2 linked regions of the Notamacropus eugenii genome follow. The main gene of each other region encodes a partner of the protein of the gene in region 2 in a complex. Links are inferred from orthologs where the notes say so. Each region holds a gene or a part of one and is shown on either strand. Other genes may lie near its edges.

What was found. Proteins that work in one complex are often made in the same cells at the same time.
Region 1: the proteins of integrin alpha-M-like (region 2) and PTN are in contact, whole or in part, in an NMR structure (PDB 8VOH), measured with the Homo sapiens proteins. The link is inferred for Notamacropus eugenii from reciprocal best matches to the Homo sapiens genes ITGAM and PTN. Residues at the interface, in NP_000623.2 of Homo sapiens: Pro273, Asp276, Arg277, Gly279, Val280, Ile281, Arg282, Tyr283, Lys306, Pro307, Arg309, Asp310, His311, Ala334, Ile335, Glu336, Gly337, Thr338, Gln339; in NP_001308315.1 of Homo sapiens: Val56, Pro57, Thr58, Ser59, Asp61, Cys62, Gly63, Leu64, Thr66, Glu68, Thr79, Lys81, Thr82, Gln83, Arg84.

What each region holds. Positions count from the first base shown.
Region 1 is NC_092874.1:111,945,726-111,952,814, reverse strand, and holds the start of PTN (pleiotrophin), read right to left. Parts: upstream 3,190-7,089; 5' UTR 2,734-3,189; intron 1-2,733.
Region 2 is NC_092874.1:319,268,944-319,276,725, reverse strand, and holds the start of integrin alpha-M-like, read right to left. Parts: upstream 3,017-7,782; 5' UTR 2,922-3,016; intron 1-2,921.

The DNA of each region.
Region 1 (7,089 bases), about 210 Mb from region 2:
TCTAACTTTTAAGTTCACTTTGAAAGGAGTTTCCGTTTTGGTTAATCATTAACTTTAAGGAGACTAAATAGACTAATTTTTTATTCATTTGTTTTGGCAGAAAATAACTGGAGTAAATCAATAAGATTATGATTTCAGGTTAAGAATGGGGAGAGAAACTCCCCAAAGATATAAGATCTCTTGAGAAAAACCTCTAATGGTGTGTGAGAGTACAGGAAGGATGTCTGTGAATACATAGATGGAAGGCAGTGCTGTGGAGCCAGAGAGATAAAGTCTCTCAGGAAGAACTAGGATCCAATTCTATTTCTGACACATTCTGACTGTGTGATCTTGGGCCAGTGGTTTTATCTAACAGTGTCCCAGGCAATTCTCAAAGATGGCAAGCTGTAGAAAAGTTAACAATGTGCATGAGCAGAGAGATTTTCCTCTCTGAGAATTCCCTATACAAATGAAAAAATCTAAACCAAAGTACATACACATACATGGACACACAAATAGAGATGGATAGGAAGGTTCTACAGTTTCATTAACTTAGAAAACTCTCTTACTAAATAAATCCTAAGGATGTATTTAAGGCACACAGAAGTTAAATGACTTGTCCTTAATGAACAGGCAGAATTTGAACTTTATCCATTATATGTGTGTATACAATATGTGTGTACCTATATCAATATACACATATGTGGCACAGTTCAAATTCTACCTCTGATATATGCATATGTGTATTATACATGTATCCATAAATACATACATGTACATATGCAAATATTACTTTGTGAGTATATCATATATGTATGTGTGTGCGCATGTGTGTATGCAGAATATATATGTGCATATTGTAAAGACTCATGTGTACATGTACCTGCATGCATGTGTATATGTGTGTATAAACATGTGTGATTACATATAAATAGATATAATTACTATTACACATTTTAAACAAAACACATCCGAAAGCCATTCATTAATCCTAAAACAAAATAAAATCCCAAGCCTCTAACAAATACAAAATTACATGTATTTCTTTCTGTTCTGAAAGAACCTGAAATCCTAGGGAAGCAAATTCAAAGCAGATCCCTATCTGCATGGTAGACCATGTCTACCCCATTCTCCTTTGGGTCCGTTAGGCTTTTATATGTTTTCATTACTTTGGTAGCACACATGGGTCTGTAAAAAGAACACTAGAGTTTGGGGGTTTTTTAATGAAAAGGGTAGAGGAAGTTTCTTTTTCTATACTGGGATTATTTTTCTCCTTTTTTTGTCTCTCCATCTATCATCCTTCTATATTTCTACATATTGATCAGCCTTAAGACCTGAAGATGTTATTAAGTGGTTAAATAGAATTCTGCTGTTTCAGCAAATCCACACTTAGCTGAGATCATGGAACTGCTCCATTATCCTATTAGTTCAAAAAAACTCCCAGATATCTCCTGAATCTCCACATCCCTTCAGCTTTCATATGGTAAGAAGAAACCAGTGAGGGGTGGAAACAACAACAAAAGGTTGAAAAACTTTCAATGGAACTTCGAGATCCTTTATTTTGCGTTCTTCCCTCAACACAAACCCCCACCCCAGGTATGCCCAAACTTTCAAAGCAGTTACTAAATCAGAGGGAACAGCAAAACAGTCATTAAATTCATGGGGTCAGGGAGCAAATGGAAGGAGAAAATCAGGGTTTTTTCCTTTATTTCTTTTAGACGCATTGATTTATTCAACAAAACCAATTCAAAACACACACACGGACTTAATGAGTTTGTCTAAGTGTCCAGTCTTTGAGTCTATGTATTTAAGAAAGAATCAAGAATTCAAGTCTTTCTTTGAGGAACTTAATGAAAATTGCAATCAGAAGAGGAGATAAAGAGAATGGAAATCAATCTTTTTTTTTTAAGCTTGGAACTTAATCTTTCTATATTGTGGCTTCCAGGCTTCCTCATCATAGCACTAATAATACACGCTTCCTCTATGAATTTTCAGGCTTTCCGTCAAACAACCTAGGAAGGTGGGAGAGGCAAATACTGTTATCCCCACTTTACAGATGAGGAAAATGAGGCCGAGAGAAGTTCAACACTTGCCCGTGATCATAGCACAAAGTGTCAGGGCCCAAACTGGAACCCCTAGATTTTCGAATTCCAAATCCAGTGCTCTCTGCATGAGGAAAGTGTCTCGCTCCTCCCGACTGCCTCTGCTCGGTGCCCTTACTCTGGCCAAAGAGCAGCTGCTGCCCTGTGAACAGTAGCAAGCATCACTGGGCTGAGCGAGGATGGAGCGCCCCCCACCAACTCCTGCCCCAACTGGTCGGAGGTAAACTGGTCAGGATAAACTTCTAGGGAGCATCTGTGGCACTGGGGAGACGCAAGGGCATGAGCTGCAAAAGAAAATCCTTTCTATGTCCTGGCTGCCTTACCTTCATCCACTACCCCTCACCCACCTGCTAAGCGCCAACCTTCTTCAAGAACTAATGAGGTCACTTGAGGCATAATCCGGCTGCGTTCTCAGCACCAGCCTTAAAACTATACTAATATCCATGAAGCCTAGATACCAAGTGGCCCACAAGCGCTATCACCCGTGATTGCCTCAGTTTCCTTTCACGTTCGGTAAGACCTCTCTCATCTCCCCTACTTCAAGCGGAGCCACACCACCAAACACTCGGGCTGCAGTCAGAAAATCCAAAGGCGCGGTGATTGCAAACTAACTCTGAGGAAATTCAACATTCCTCCCTTTGCGCCTACTTACTTGGAGTTGGGAATCTCCGCTCTCCTGCTTTGGCCGCTGGTCAATGGAGAGAGATGAGGCTGGCTGCTAGGTTTCTAGAGACAGGAGATCGGGCAGGAACAGCCCCGCTGCCTCCGCCGCTGCCTCTGCTGCTGCTGCCGCCGCTGCTGCTGCCGCCGCCGCTGCTGCTGAGGAAGCTGTTTCTCCAGCTGCTCGCTCTCCTTTCTGGACAGGATCACTCACTTGTCTCTTCCTTTTCCCTTTTCCAGCTGTGGCTTTCCTTGCCTGCTGGGACTTGCTATGAAAGATTTCTGGACTCCAAGGCAAGGGAACCTGATCCTCCCTTGGACTCAATTAAGCCTTGACAGGGAGTGAGTCCAGAGAGAAAATGAAGAATGGAAGGAGGGAGTGAAAGGAGGGAGGGAGGCAAGTGGGCAAAGTGAGGAAGCCAGCACCAGCAAGGGCACTTTTTAAGTCGGGAGCTGGTTGGAAAGCTTATTAAAAGCAGGTCACTCAAGGGGCAGTCTCTCCCATTAGAAGCAAAAAAAAGGGGGGGGGGGAGGGACAGGGAAAAGGAGATGAGATAGCAAATTGGACTTCTTGACTAATAATTATTCCAAAAGGAAGTCTTGACAACACATTTCTTCTCTGAAACTTTGTGCAATTCAGAGGAATGAGCTTTTTACCCAGATTTTGATAAGTAGGGAATCAAAGTGATCTCTCAGTACTCTGAGAGGAAGGGTGTCTCACTGGTGTCAAACAAAATAGAACTAGGGATCACTAAACATAAAGATTCCTACTGGCATCTAATAGACCTCGAATACGGCATCTTAATATTTTTGTTACTGTTGTTGAATCATGATCAACTCTTCATGATCCCATTTGGGGGTTTTTTGGCAAAGATACTAGAGTGGTTTGTCATTTTCCTCTCCATCTCATTTTACAGATAAAGAAACTGTGGCAAAAAGGGTTAAGTGACTTGCCTAAGGTCACAGATGGTAAGTGTCTGAGGCCACATTGCAACTCCTGAAGATAAATCTTCTTGATTACTGGCCCGGTATTCTAGTCATTGCTGCATCTACCTGCCTTCATATTAGTGATATCAATGTTTTACTGCATTTTCTTTCTTTTGTTGAATATTTCTCCATTACATTTTAATTTAACTAGGGTAGCACTTGTGAGTCCTATGTTTGACACTCCTTGAGCTGGCCTAGAGATCCTGAAGACCCCAGATGCAAATGCTGACTGTGTGACCCTGCCCAAGTTGTTGAACCTCTTAGCATCCGCAGGCTACAACTTGCAGAGAAGGTGAAGACCTGTGGAGAAGGTGATCTTCCTCACAGGAAGCTTCCTAGATTGATGGTCTGGTCTAAAGCAAACAAAAAAAAATTGGTTCTGTGTAGTTTTTTGCTATTTACAAAGTGCTTTCTTAACAACAATCCTGTGAAGGTTCAAATACGATTATTCCAATTTTACAGTTGTGGCTGCGGCGACTCAAACACATAAAGTGATGTGCTCATGGTCATACAGCTACTAAATGTCAGAGCCAGGAGTTTGTCAGCCAGTCAATCAACAAGCATTTACTTAGTCCTTATTCTGTGACAGTCACTGTGCTCCCAATTTTCCTGATAAAGTAGGGAGAAAAAGGACAGAGACAGGATGGGGAGAAATGGATCTAGTGACCAAATATCTTCATTCCATTACCACCATCATTCCTTCCTCCTGCAATTTCTAATAGTTCAATTATCAAATCCTTCTTAAAGAATTTCCCATTTGGCTTTGTATAGTAGACTGAGCCCCAGTGATACTCTATGTAAAAAACTACTGAGGTCCCAAAGAAGGCTAGGTAGATGGACGTCTGAAGGGCCAGAAAGGTCAATTAAATGCTCCAGGAGGTGGGGAGCATGAAGGATTACAGATGGGTGCTTTAGTGGATCAGGCCCTGGAGACACTTGACCTCAGGAGGACCTGAACTCCAATCATCTCTCAGTCATTTACCAGCATTATGACCCAGATCACTTCACCATGAAGTCTGTTTCCTCATCTGTAAAATGGAAATAATATCATCTACTCACAAGGTTGTTGTGGGGATTGCCCAAAATAATATACGTAAAGAGCTTTGTAAAACTTAAAGCATTGTATAAGCACTACATAATCAGAAGTGATAAGGATGAAGATGCTTTCAATGAAGCACTTTTGTCCCCCAAGCTTTTAGGTGGTGAATGGTCTCTTAGGTCCTAAAACGCAACAGGAGGTAAGCCTTCTGACGAAAGAGCTCTGTGAGCTTTCTAGGACTTCTGATCAGGTCTGCGTATTAATGGTGTTAATATGAGCACCTTAACTAGAGAGAGAAAGAGACAGAGACTGAGACGGAGACTGAGTCTGAGAGACAGAAAAAGAGGTGAAAACAGACACAGAGATTAATGCTCTTTTCACTCAATTATATTTCTTTCATATTAAAATAACTGAACAACAACTAAGTATAAAATATTGAGTTGAATGAATATTTATTTTCATTTCAAGTAAATAGAACAGAGCAAAATTTAAAGGAATGCAAACATCCAAGAACAATTATTAATTTATTTATTCGTGTTGAACATATTTATATTAAGAAAATGTTAAGCACAAGCTACTATGTTAAACATCTTGGGGACACACAGAGAATAAAATAGCATGGTTCTTGATGTTAATGAGTTTATAATCTGGGATTAAGATGTTCACAAAAAATATATTACAAAATAAAATACTACAAGTGTTATAAAAGAGTAGAAAGGTACTGTGGAAATTCAGTGGAATAAGAGGCTATGACTAGGAGGATCAGGGAAGATTTCTTTAAGAGAGTGGCATCTAAACTGAATGTTCAAGGATGAATAGAATTTTGACAGGTGAAGACTGATGAGAAGGGTGTTAAAGGTGATATGTTGCTACACATGTGTCAGTCGTGTTAAAATCTTCAGAGGTCAAAGTGAAAGAAGACTGGGAAAAGACAATGAGATTTAGGGGAGAGGGGTGAGAGATTACCAGTATCTTTGGAGACAGCAACTTTCACAAGATGATGGAATTGGAAACCAGATCACCAGGGGTGGAAGGAGAAAGTGGACTGTGCTTGATGAAAATTTGGAAGGGAAAGGAAGGGGAGAGAAAAGATGAAGTTCAAGGTGACCATATTAACTAGGTTAAGGGAAAGATTTTGTATGTTTGTTAAGCACAGCAGAAACCAGGTTTGTTTGCTTTTTTTGCCAGAGGAAGAGCCATTACTAGGGAGAGAAAGATGGAAATGCAACAGAAAAGAAATAATTAATAGAGCAAGGTCCTGAGAGGTTTGAGGACTGTGACATAGCCCTCTCTGTTAAGAATAAGCACCATCATTTCCTCTAAGAACACAGGGAAGGGAGACTGGATGGGCAAAGATAAAAGAAAATTTTGGGGTGGAAAAGAATAATGGATGTTAAAGTAGGTCACATTGAGTGGGCCTCCTCATAGTAGGAAGAAAGCTCATCTACTAAGGGTGAGAGATTAGGGACCATTTGGAAAAGATTTTGCTAGGAAGTTAATTTGTTTTTTTAATCTGGAATGCAAATTTTTTAATCTGTAATGTAATCTGTAATGTAATGTAATCTGTATGCAGCCTAGTAGCTGCATAACTTGAAATCTTAGTTGCCTGGTCAGTCAATAAAGGAATATTAATCCCCTGCTATGTTCTAGGTACTATTCTAACCACTGGTGATACAAAATAATATAAAGAACAGCCCCTACTCTCAAGGAACTCACACTCTAAAGGGAGAGACATCATGCAAACAATTTTATAAATGAGCTATACACAAGATCTAGTGGAAATAATCATGAGCAGAGAGGCTGATAGAATTATCTGGATCCTGAGATCTTAAGTTACTTGCTCACAGTAACACAGCCAGTATAGGTCAAAGGCAGAACCAGGTATTCCTGATGCTCAGTAAATTTTTTTATCTACAAAGGCATACTGTCCAATTAGAGATGAATAAAGGAATTGTGGAATAGCAATGACCTTTATTCATTAATCCTTTACTTTTATCAATCCAGACTTGTGCCAGTCTTAAATAGATTCTTTCTTTATAATCACCCTGAATACCTCAGGTTAGAAGCCTTCTTGAGGTATGATTATGGGTGCAATATGATTTTTGCTTTATAAATGAAAGAGGTCTATACTTTATCACAAGCAATTAGCTATTTACTAACAATTGCTTTGCTCTAAGACCATTTGGGAAATCTTTCATTTCAGATTTCTCTGGAAATCTATTTGAAATCTCCAGTTGTCACTTGGCGATGCAGGTCTGAAGCTCAGGAGAGAAGCTAAGCCTGGATATATAGATCTAGGAGTCATTAGCGTAGAAATGACAA
Region 2 (7,782 bases):
CAACAAGCAAAAATGTCCAGTTCCTATTTCAAGGAACTTCTTTACATTCTAGCAGAGATCACAGTCACTGGAATGGTCCCTAACGACCCCCACGAGGGGGCTCAGCCCCTTACAGACTAGGAGACATGACCAATATACATGAAAGTTAGCTAACAATAGGAGGCAAGATGTGCCACAGGTCAAATGAATGATACTTACTTTCACTAATTCTGTGTGTGTTTGTCCTTTGTTGCCAAAGACCACGCCATCAGAGAAATAATGACATGACTTGCACTTGACTTTGTTTTGAGTGAGGGAGGGCCGTACAGGTCACCAGCCTCACTTCTCCTCCAGAGCCATCTGAATCCAGTGACCAGATATTCATCAGGATGACTGGAGATGACCCAGGATGAGGCAATTGGGGTTAAGTGACTTGCCCAGGGTCACACAGCTAGTGAGTGTCAAGTGTCTGAGGTGACATTTGAATTCAGGTCCTCCTGACTCTTGCACCACCCTCCCCCCTCCAGTCTCCTTGGAGCTTTGGTGGTGGGAACCCGCCCACTGAGGAGAGCTGGTAGTGGTGTCCAGCAGTGGGTGAGAGAGAGACACCTGAGAGCAAGAAGAGAGGAACTCTTCCCCGCCCCCTAGGGGGGCTTCCTCCTTCCTTTCCCGATTTTGGATTACTAATTCTGTAGGAATTAGAGCAAGGAAGAGGTTGAACTGGGTTGGAGAGGTCAAGGAAGACCTCTCAGAGGATAAGAGGCCTCAAGGGAGGGTTAGAGATGCTGATGCAATTCATTCCAATTCAACAATCATTTTTAAGCACCTGCTCTGTGTCAGACACTTGCTAGGTGCTGGGGCAAAAACAAAAATGAAAATAGTCTGCCCTCACAAAGTTTTTGTTTTACTTGGAGAATCAGAAAGAAGAGAATGGGGTGATCCAGGTAGAGGGAACTGCAGGAGCAAAAGCACAGAGGTGAGAGGATATTCTCAGTGACAGTAAGACTAGATTGACTGGTGTACAGGGAATGTCTGAACAGAGTGGTGGAATTTGAGGTTGGGGATAGATTGTGAAGATGCTTAAAAGCCAGGCTAAAGCTTTTGAAAGTTATTTTATGGAAAAATGGGGGAGCCATTAGAAGATCTTGAACCCGGGAGTGGTATGATCAGAGTTGTGAATTGGGAAGGTCAGTCTGGTGGCCACAATGGGTGGAGAAGCAGGATGGATGGATGGAGGTAGAGGCTCCTTTCCTTCTGGTGAAGTCAGTAAGTTTTCTAGGGACTGGGTAATGTGCTAAGGGCTTGGAAGCATTGACTTTGATTCAGCTGCCTCTTCCCTCAAATCCCGTCCTTCTGAGAATGGTGGCTGGTGGTTGAAAAACAGGAGTAAGTGTATTCACATCTCAATGCCTAAAAGCCTGCTGCTCCACCTGGCTTGCAATTTATTTTTAGACATATTTGAATGATAATTTCTATGCCAGGACTGTACAATTTAATACTACCCTTCTACTTTGTCCTCATGGCTACTGCTGATTGTTTCTTCCTGTGTCTGTCTGCCTGTCTACTTGTCCTTCTGTCTTTCTCTCTGCCTTTGTTTCTGTCTCTCTAGTCTATCCCATCTGTTAAGGCTGAACATAAGCCTCTTATCCTCCATGAGGGCTTCCTTGACTACTCCAGCCCATAATGATTTCTCTCTTGCTCTAATTCCCACAGTATTAGTGAAAGGAAGTATCCTTCATTTGACTCAGTGCACATATTACCTCCTGTCTCCTATCTCCCCTGTCTCTCTGTCTCGGTCTTTCTGTGTGTGTGTGTGTGTCTGTCTGTCTGTCTGTGTGTGTGTGTGTGTGTGCACACGTAAATTTCAAAAATAAAGCATATACCACATAGCGGTACTGCTAGCTGACAGAATTTCAGAATAGGTAAATAAAACCTAAATAGAAAGTCGTATATAAGGAACTGATGAGCTTGTACCCACTGTTAACTGGGGTAGGGGAGAAAGTGACCTCAACGATGTAGAAAGTGTCCCCAGAACTACCCTCTCATTTGGCCTGCTATCCCCTTCCTGGAGTTGCCACTCCCACTGTATGGCATCAAAGGATTGATTCAGATCTTCTGATAGGTCCTCATGACTTAATTCTCAGCAACTGTTGCCTTCCATGTTAGACTTCTAGCCCCTCTTCCCACCTTCCTGGTATATTCTATCCATAACTCTTTTTGTTTTTTTTTTTCCCGAAGGAGATGGGCTCTGAGTTTTGGAGGCCTCTCAGTGCATCTAGTGGTCAAATCTAATGGGGTACTTGGGTGCCAATTCTAAAATCACATTTCTCTTTAAAAGTCACATCCCTCCCTAGCTTCAAAACACTATCCCAGGCAGTGTCTCCGCAGCCCAAGGACACAACCTGCCCCAGCAACAACTGTTATCTCCCCTCCTGCCATAGCAGCCAGCTACACCTATAGAACTTATTAATCTGAACTAGCTGTGGACTGGCTGGACTGACTCTGCACTAGGTCATAATGACATTTACTACTCACTGACTAATATTCGTACGTATCCTAGACTTAGACGTACGTATACTCCCTTACATTTATCTTGTCTAAGAAGACATTGATGAGAGTAGCCTGGTATTCCTGAGTCAGCTCTGACCGTTGGTTGACTTAGTGATGTTTCGGGCCTAAAACCACACCTTTAGGAAGTCCCATCTTGGGCTATTTCCTGATGAACTCTGTGTAAAATGCCTCCACAGTAGATACCAAAAGTGCATGTTCCTTTAAGAACCAACCACTCCTTAACTACTCCCTAATCCCACCCCCAAATACCTAGTTAGCATATTTGGCCCATGTTTCCTATAGAATATCCTGTAAAAACTTTCCTTGTATCCCTCTAAGGTTGCAGGTTCCCTAGGAACTCTTGCCCACTGAAAAGCGTAATAAATCTTTACCTTGACCTCGACAATACTTGAGTCTGCAGATTCATTCCAGGTGACCTGCCCCTGGTCTTTGTGGGGGGGTCTCACTCCTCCTTTCCAGCCCTCATCAGATTCACTCCCAAGGCTCTCTCCCCCAAAGATGGGTATCTGGAAACCACTCAAAAGATAAGAAGCTGTGAGGCAAAACGCATGATTTCCTTTGGCTTTCAAGAAAGAAGGAAATGAAAAAGAGGATGCAGAAGTGACCTTGTGGTCAAGACCTTGGAGGTTAGGAGTAAACTGGTGGATTTAGTTCAGTTTTAGGGGTGTAGAGTTACATAAGTGAGACCATTATACGAAGTGATATGCATGGTGGTGAGGGAACCCAGGTCTTTAAATGCAGGCCAAGGACTGAATCTCATTTTTCAACTTAACAGAAAGTATTTTGAAATCTTCCCCACACTTCAAAACAAATACTGAATTAGTGCAAATAGCCTATGGGACCAAGTAGCTATTTGACTGTGAGTTAACCCACCTTTCTGAGACTGTTTCTTTCTGTACCAGTATGGGAGTTGGTCTAGAATTAATTCAACAAATAATTTTTAAATGCCCTGTGTAGTCCAGGGCTGGACACTGGGATTAATAAAGATAACTAAAACATTTTTCCTGCCCTCAATAAGTTTATAGTCTACTGAGGAAGAGGCAGAAGAGAGATATAATATCTGTAAATATGTAAAACACAAAATAATTACAGAAACAAAAAAAAATTAACCACAGTGTTCTGCAGAAAGCAGTATTTGAGTTGTCTTGAAGAAAGACAGGAATTTTAAGAAGCACAGCTTAGGAGGGAAAGCAAGGAGGACAGCAGAAGATCAAAGATGGAAACAGAGAGGCTTTATCATACATGTGTTTAGACTGCAGAGTGGATATGAAAGGGAATAATGCATAAAAAGACTAGAAAGATTTTTTTTCAGATTAGTCATATCTGACTCCTTTGTGACCCCATTTGGGGTTTTCTTGGTAGAGATACTGAAGGGATTTGCCATTTCCTTCTCCAGCTCATTTTACAGATGAGGACATTGAGGCAAACAGGATTAAGTGACTTGCCCAGGGTCACACAGCTAGTAAGTGTTTGAGGTCAGATTTGAACTCAGGTCCTCCTACCTCTAGAGTCAGTGTGCTATTCACTGTGCCACAAAGGGCTAAATTGTGAGTGTCATCCTTTGCAACATTCTCCGTGTATATCTTTGACCCTAAAGGTAGTAGGGAGCTTCTGGAGTTTATTGGGTATGGAGGTGGCAGGGCTGGGGGGGTGGGGTTCATGGTGACATGGCTAGATCTGCACTTTAGGAAAGTCATTTTGGCAGCTGACTAGAAAACAGACTGTATGAGGAGGGAGTTGAGGCAGAGAAACCAGTTAGAAGGTAATTTATTGCAATAGCCCAGGAGAAAGGTAATAAGGGCTTGGTTTAATATGGTGGCAATGTGATTAGAGTGTCAGAGAACGTATCCAAGAAATACTGTAGAGAAAGAAGCAACAACAATTGGTAAGTGAGTACATAAATAGAATTGAAGGAAAGTGATAAGTTGAGGATGACACTGAGATTGTAAGTATAGGTGACTGGAAGGCTGTAGTGCTCAAATGTAATAGGGAATTCAGAAAAGGAGTGTGTTTAGGGGGAAAAGATTATGTGTTCTGTTTTGGACATGTTGAATCTGAGATTATTTTGGGACCTCTTGGGCAGCTAGGTAGTGCAGTGGAGAGAGCACCAGACCTAGAGTCAGGAAGACTCATCTTTCTAAATTCAAATTCTGACCTCAGACACTTACTGTGTGACCCTGGGGACAGTCACTTAACCCAATTTGCCTCAGTTTCCTTACCTGTAAAATAAGCTGGAAAAAGAAATGGCAAACCACTCCAGTATTTTGCCAAGAAAACCCCAAATGGGGTGACAAAGAGTTGGATCATGACTAAACAACTTGCTTGTTTGCCATGGGATAGCCAGTTCAAAAGGGATTGGAGCTCTGGAGAGAGACTGGGGCTGCACATATAAGATCTAGGAATTAACTGCATAGACATGATCACTTAATCTATGGGAGCAGAAGAGTTTATAACAGAATATTGAGAAAATGAAAAAGAGGGCCCAGGACAGAGTTTGGGAAGGAACAGCCACAGTTAATTAGTGTTACCTATATGAAAATCTAACAAAGGAAAGATGAGAAGGATCAGTCAGACATGCTGTATTAGCAAGCACAATAGCATGCATAGGATGGCCTGTTAGTACAGGTTCTTTGATCTGCTTTTCTAAAGGAAAGATAGCTTCAAAGGGATCAACAATCTTTAATTACAGATAAGTAAAAAGAAGTGAGTATAGAAAACACAAACAGAGAAATTAGCAAGGAGGTTCAACAGACAGGGCTCTGTCTGAACAAAGAAATACAACCACCTACATATATCACCAGACTGAGAGAACACCAACATCTGAGTAGTTGGGGGGAAGATCTTAACAAAGGATTACTCAGAGTCCTGTCCAGGGATTCCAAAGGTCCTTCTCATGAGCAAGCCCCCAAAGTAAAACGCCAAATTCCCAGAATATATAAAAAAGACCAAGTCCCTGATTGGCTCAGAGCCAGAAGGTAAAAAACCTACATGACTCAGTACAGCTGTGAATTATCAGGGTTCAAAGGAGATTCATCCTTCAGATGTTTATAATTTAGCCTGAGACTAGGAAAGTGAACTCCAGAAAAAAAAAATCACACTTTGCCTACGCTTACACATGCATAAAGAAAATCAAAAGATAAGTGTCATGAAAACCAAGAGACAGAGATAGACAGACAGACATGCACACACAGACATAGAGACACACACACAGAGATAGAGAGAGGGAGAGAGAATACAGGACAAGGAGGTGGTCAGCAATGCATAGGCTTTCAGAGGGGACAGGAAGGAAATTTAGGATTGAGAAATTTAGATTTTGCAATTAAGAAATCATTAGTAAGTTGTTTAAGTTCAAGTAACTCTGAGTTCCACGTCACACCCAGCAAATTGTCAAATATGACAATTAATGAAGTGAGCAGAACTAGAGAGAACAGAAACCAGCACGCTACCAGACAAAAGAGAGGTAAGCTGGAGAAAACAAGTCCCCCCTCTCTCCCTGATTCAGGTCTGTAAGGTCAATGGGAAATAAGATCTTCCCCCACCCATTAATAGGCCTCACATGGAACCCTGATGCAGAGCCAATTAGGCTCTAGGCCACAGGGATTCCCACATCTTTCCAATTAAGTGCTGATTTCAAAGCTTCTAGGCACTAAACCAATTAAGTGCCTTTGATTATAAACAGTGTATATTGTTGTGTTGTTATGTGTTTGTCCTTCGTTTCTCAAAGAGGTCCATGACATCAAGATGATGATATGACTTGTAGTTGACTTTGATTTGAGGGAGGGAGGGCTATGCAAGGTTACCAGCCTCACTTTCTCCTCCAGAGTCATCTGGGTCCAGTGACCTGATATTCATCAGTATGAGGGGAGATGGCCCAGGATGCAGTGGGAGACCCTGGCCATTTTAGGCTAAGGTCTTATCACATACTCACTTTGAGTGAGATATACCCACTCAATGAATAGGCCTCTTTAGGTAGTTACTCAAGGGATGGCCCCTTTTAATAAAAAAATAATAACAAAAAAATCAAACTGGGAGGGGAAGACCCTCAGGGTTCCAGGGTAAAAGAGAATCAGTAACTATTTAATAATTATTGCTTGGAGGCAAAGATGTAAGTGAAGAGAGAAGCAGGTGGAGAGAGGAACTGGCTGAGGGAGCAACTTGCCTAGGGAACTTGCCAGCTGGGAGGCTTGAAAGAGAAAAATGCTGACACTCCCTGGACTGGTAAATCCTGCCTTCCAGTCTGCTAATAGCCTTATTCCAAATAAATATTTCCGCTTTGTCGTGGAGGAGGACAGTTTATTACAATTTGCAAACAAACCCTGGGAATACATATGCACATTCGTAGCAGCTGCTATGGGCATCATATTGGCATTACAAGTCATGGCGTCTCTTGGGTGAAGCAGATAAAGTGGTGGAAAAGAACAGTTCTCTAGAAAGAACTACAGCATTTTTGAGAAAAACAACTTTGAATGACAAACACAATGATCAATTACACCTCCAGAAGATTGATGGTGAACCAGTTTCCATCTTTTGGCATAGAAATGGTGAACCAGAGGTGCAGAATGAGACATATTTTTAGACATGGCTAATGTGTGAATTTGTATTTTTTTTCTTGATCATATTTATTTTGGGGGTGGGCTTTTACTTTTCATTTTTTTGATAAGGGAGAGTCAGGGAGGGGTGGTGATAGCTATATTTTAATTAAGGAAAAATGTTAATAAATCATTTCAAGAAACAGAAGAAAATGCAGAAGTAGCATAGACAAAGAGGCCACTGTTGGAACTACCATATTAAGTTTTACTTACCACTCCCCCACAAAAAACCCCAAAACTTAAACTGTATATTGTGTGTGGGAGGGAAGAATTTCCTGCATCATGTAGTCAGTTTAAAATTTTTTTCCTTGTAAATGGAAATAATTGTGATTGTGTCAAGTTCACAATCAATAATAATCTTTTTTTTTTTTAAATGAGAGATCACTAGAAACCTTTGTAGCCCAAGATTCTCTAGACAACCCTGTGCTAATATGGAGCCTGTCAAGGCCCCTATCATGTGGGTGAGCCCAGCCTCCTTTAACTTATTTTCTGACTGTTTAAAACTGGTGAGACTAAACCTTTGCTTCTTTTTTTCATCACCTTTCAACTTTTCAAATGTTCTCCTTTATCACTTTACCTGCTTTGCCCAAGGGATGCCATTGCCTGAACCAGTGAGAAAAGAGTGACTTGTTTTCCTCTACTT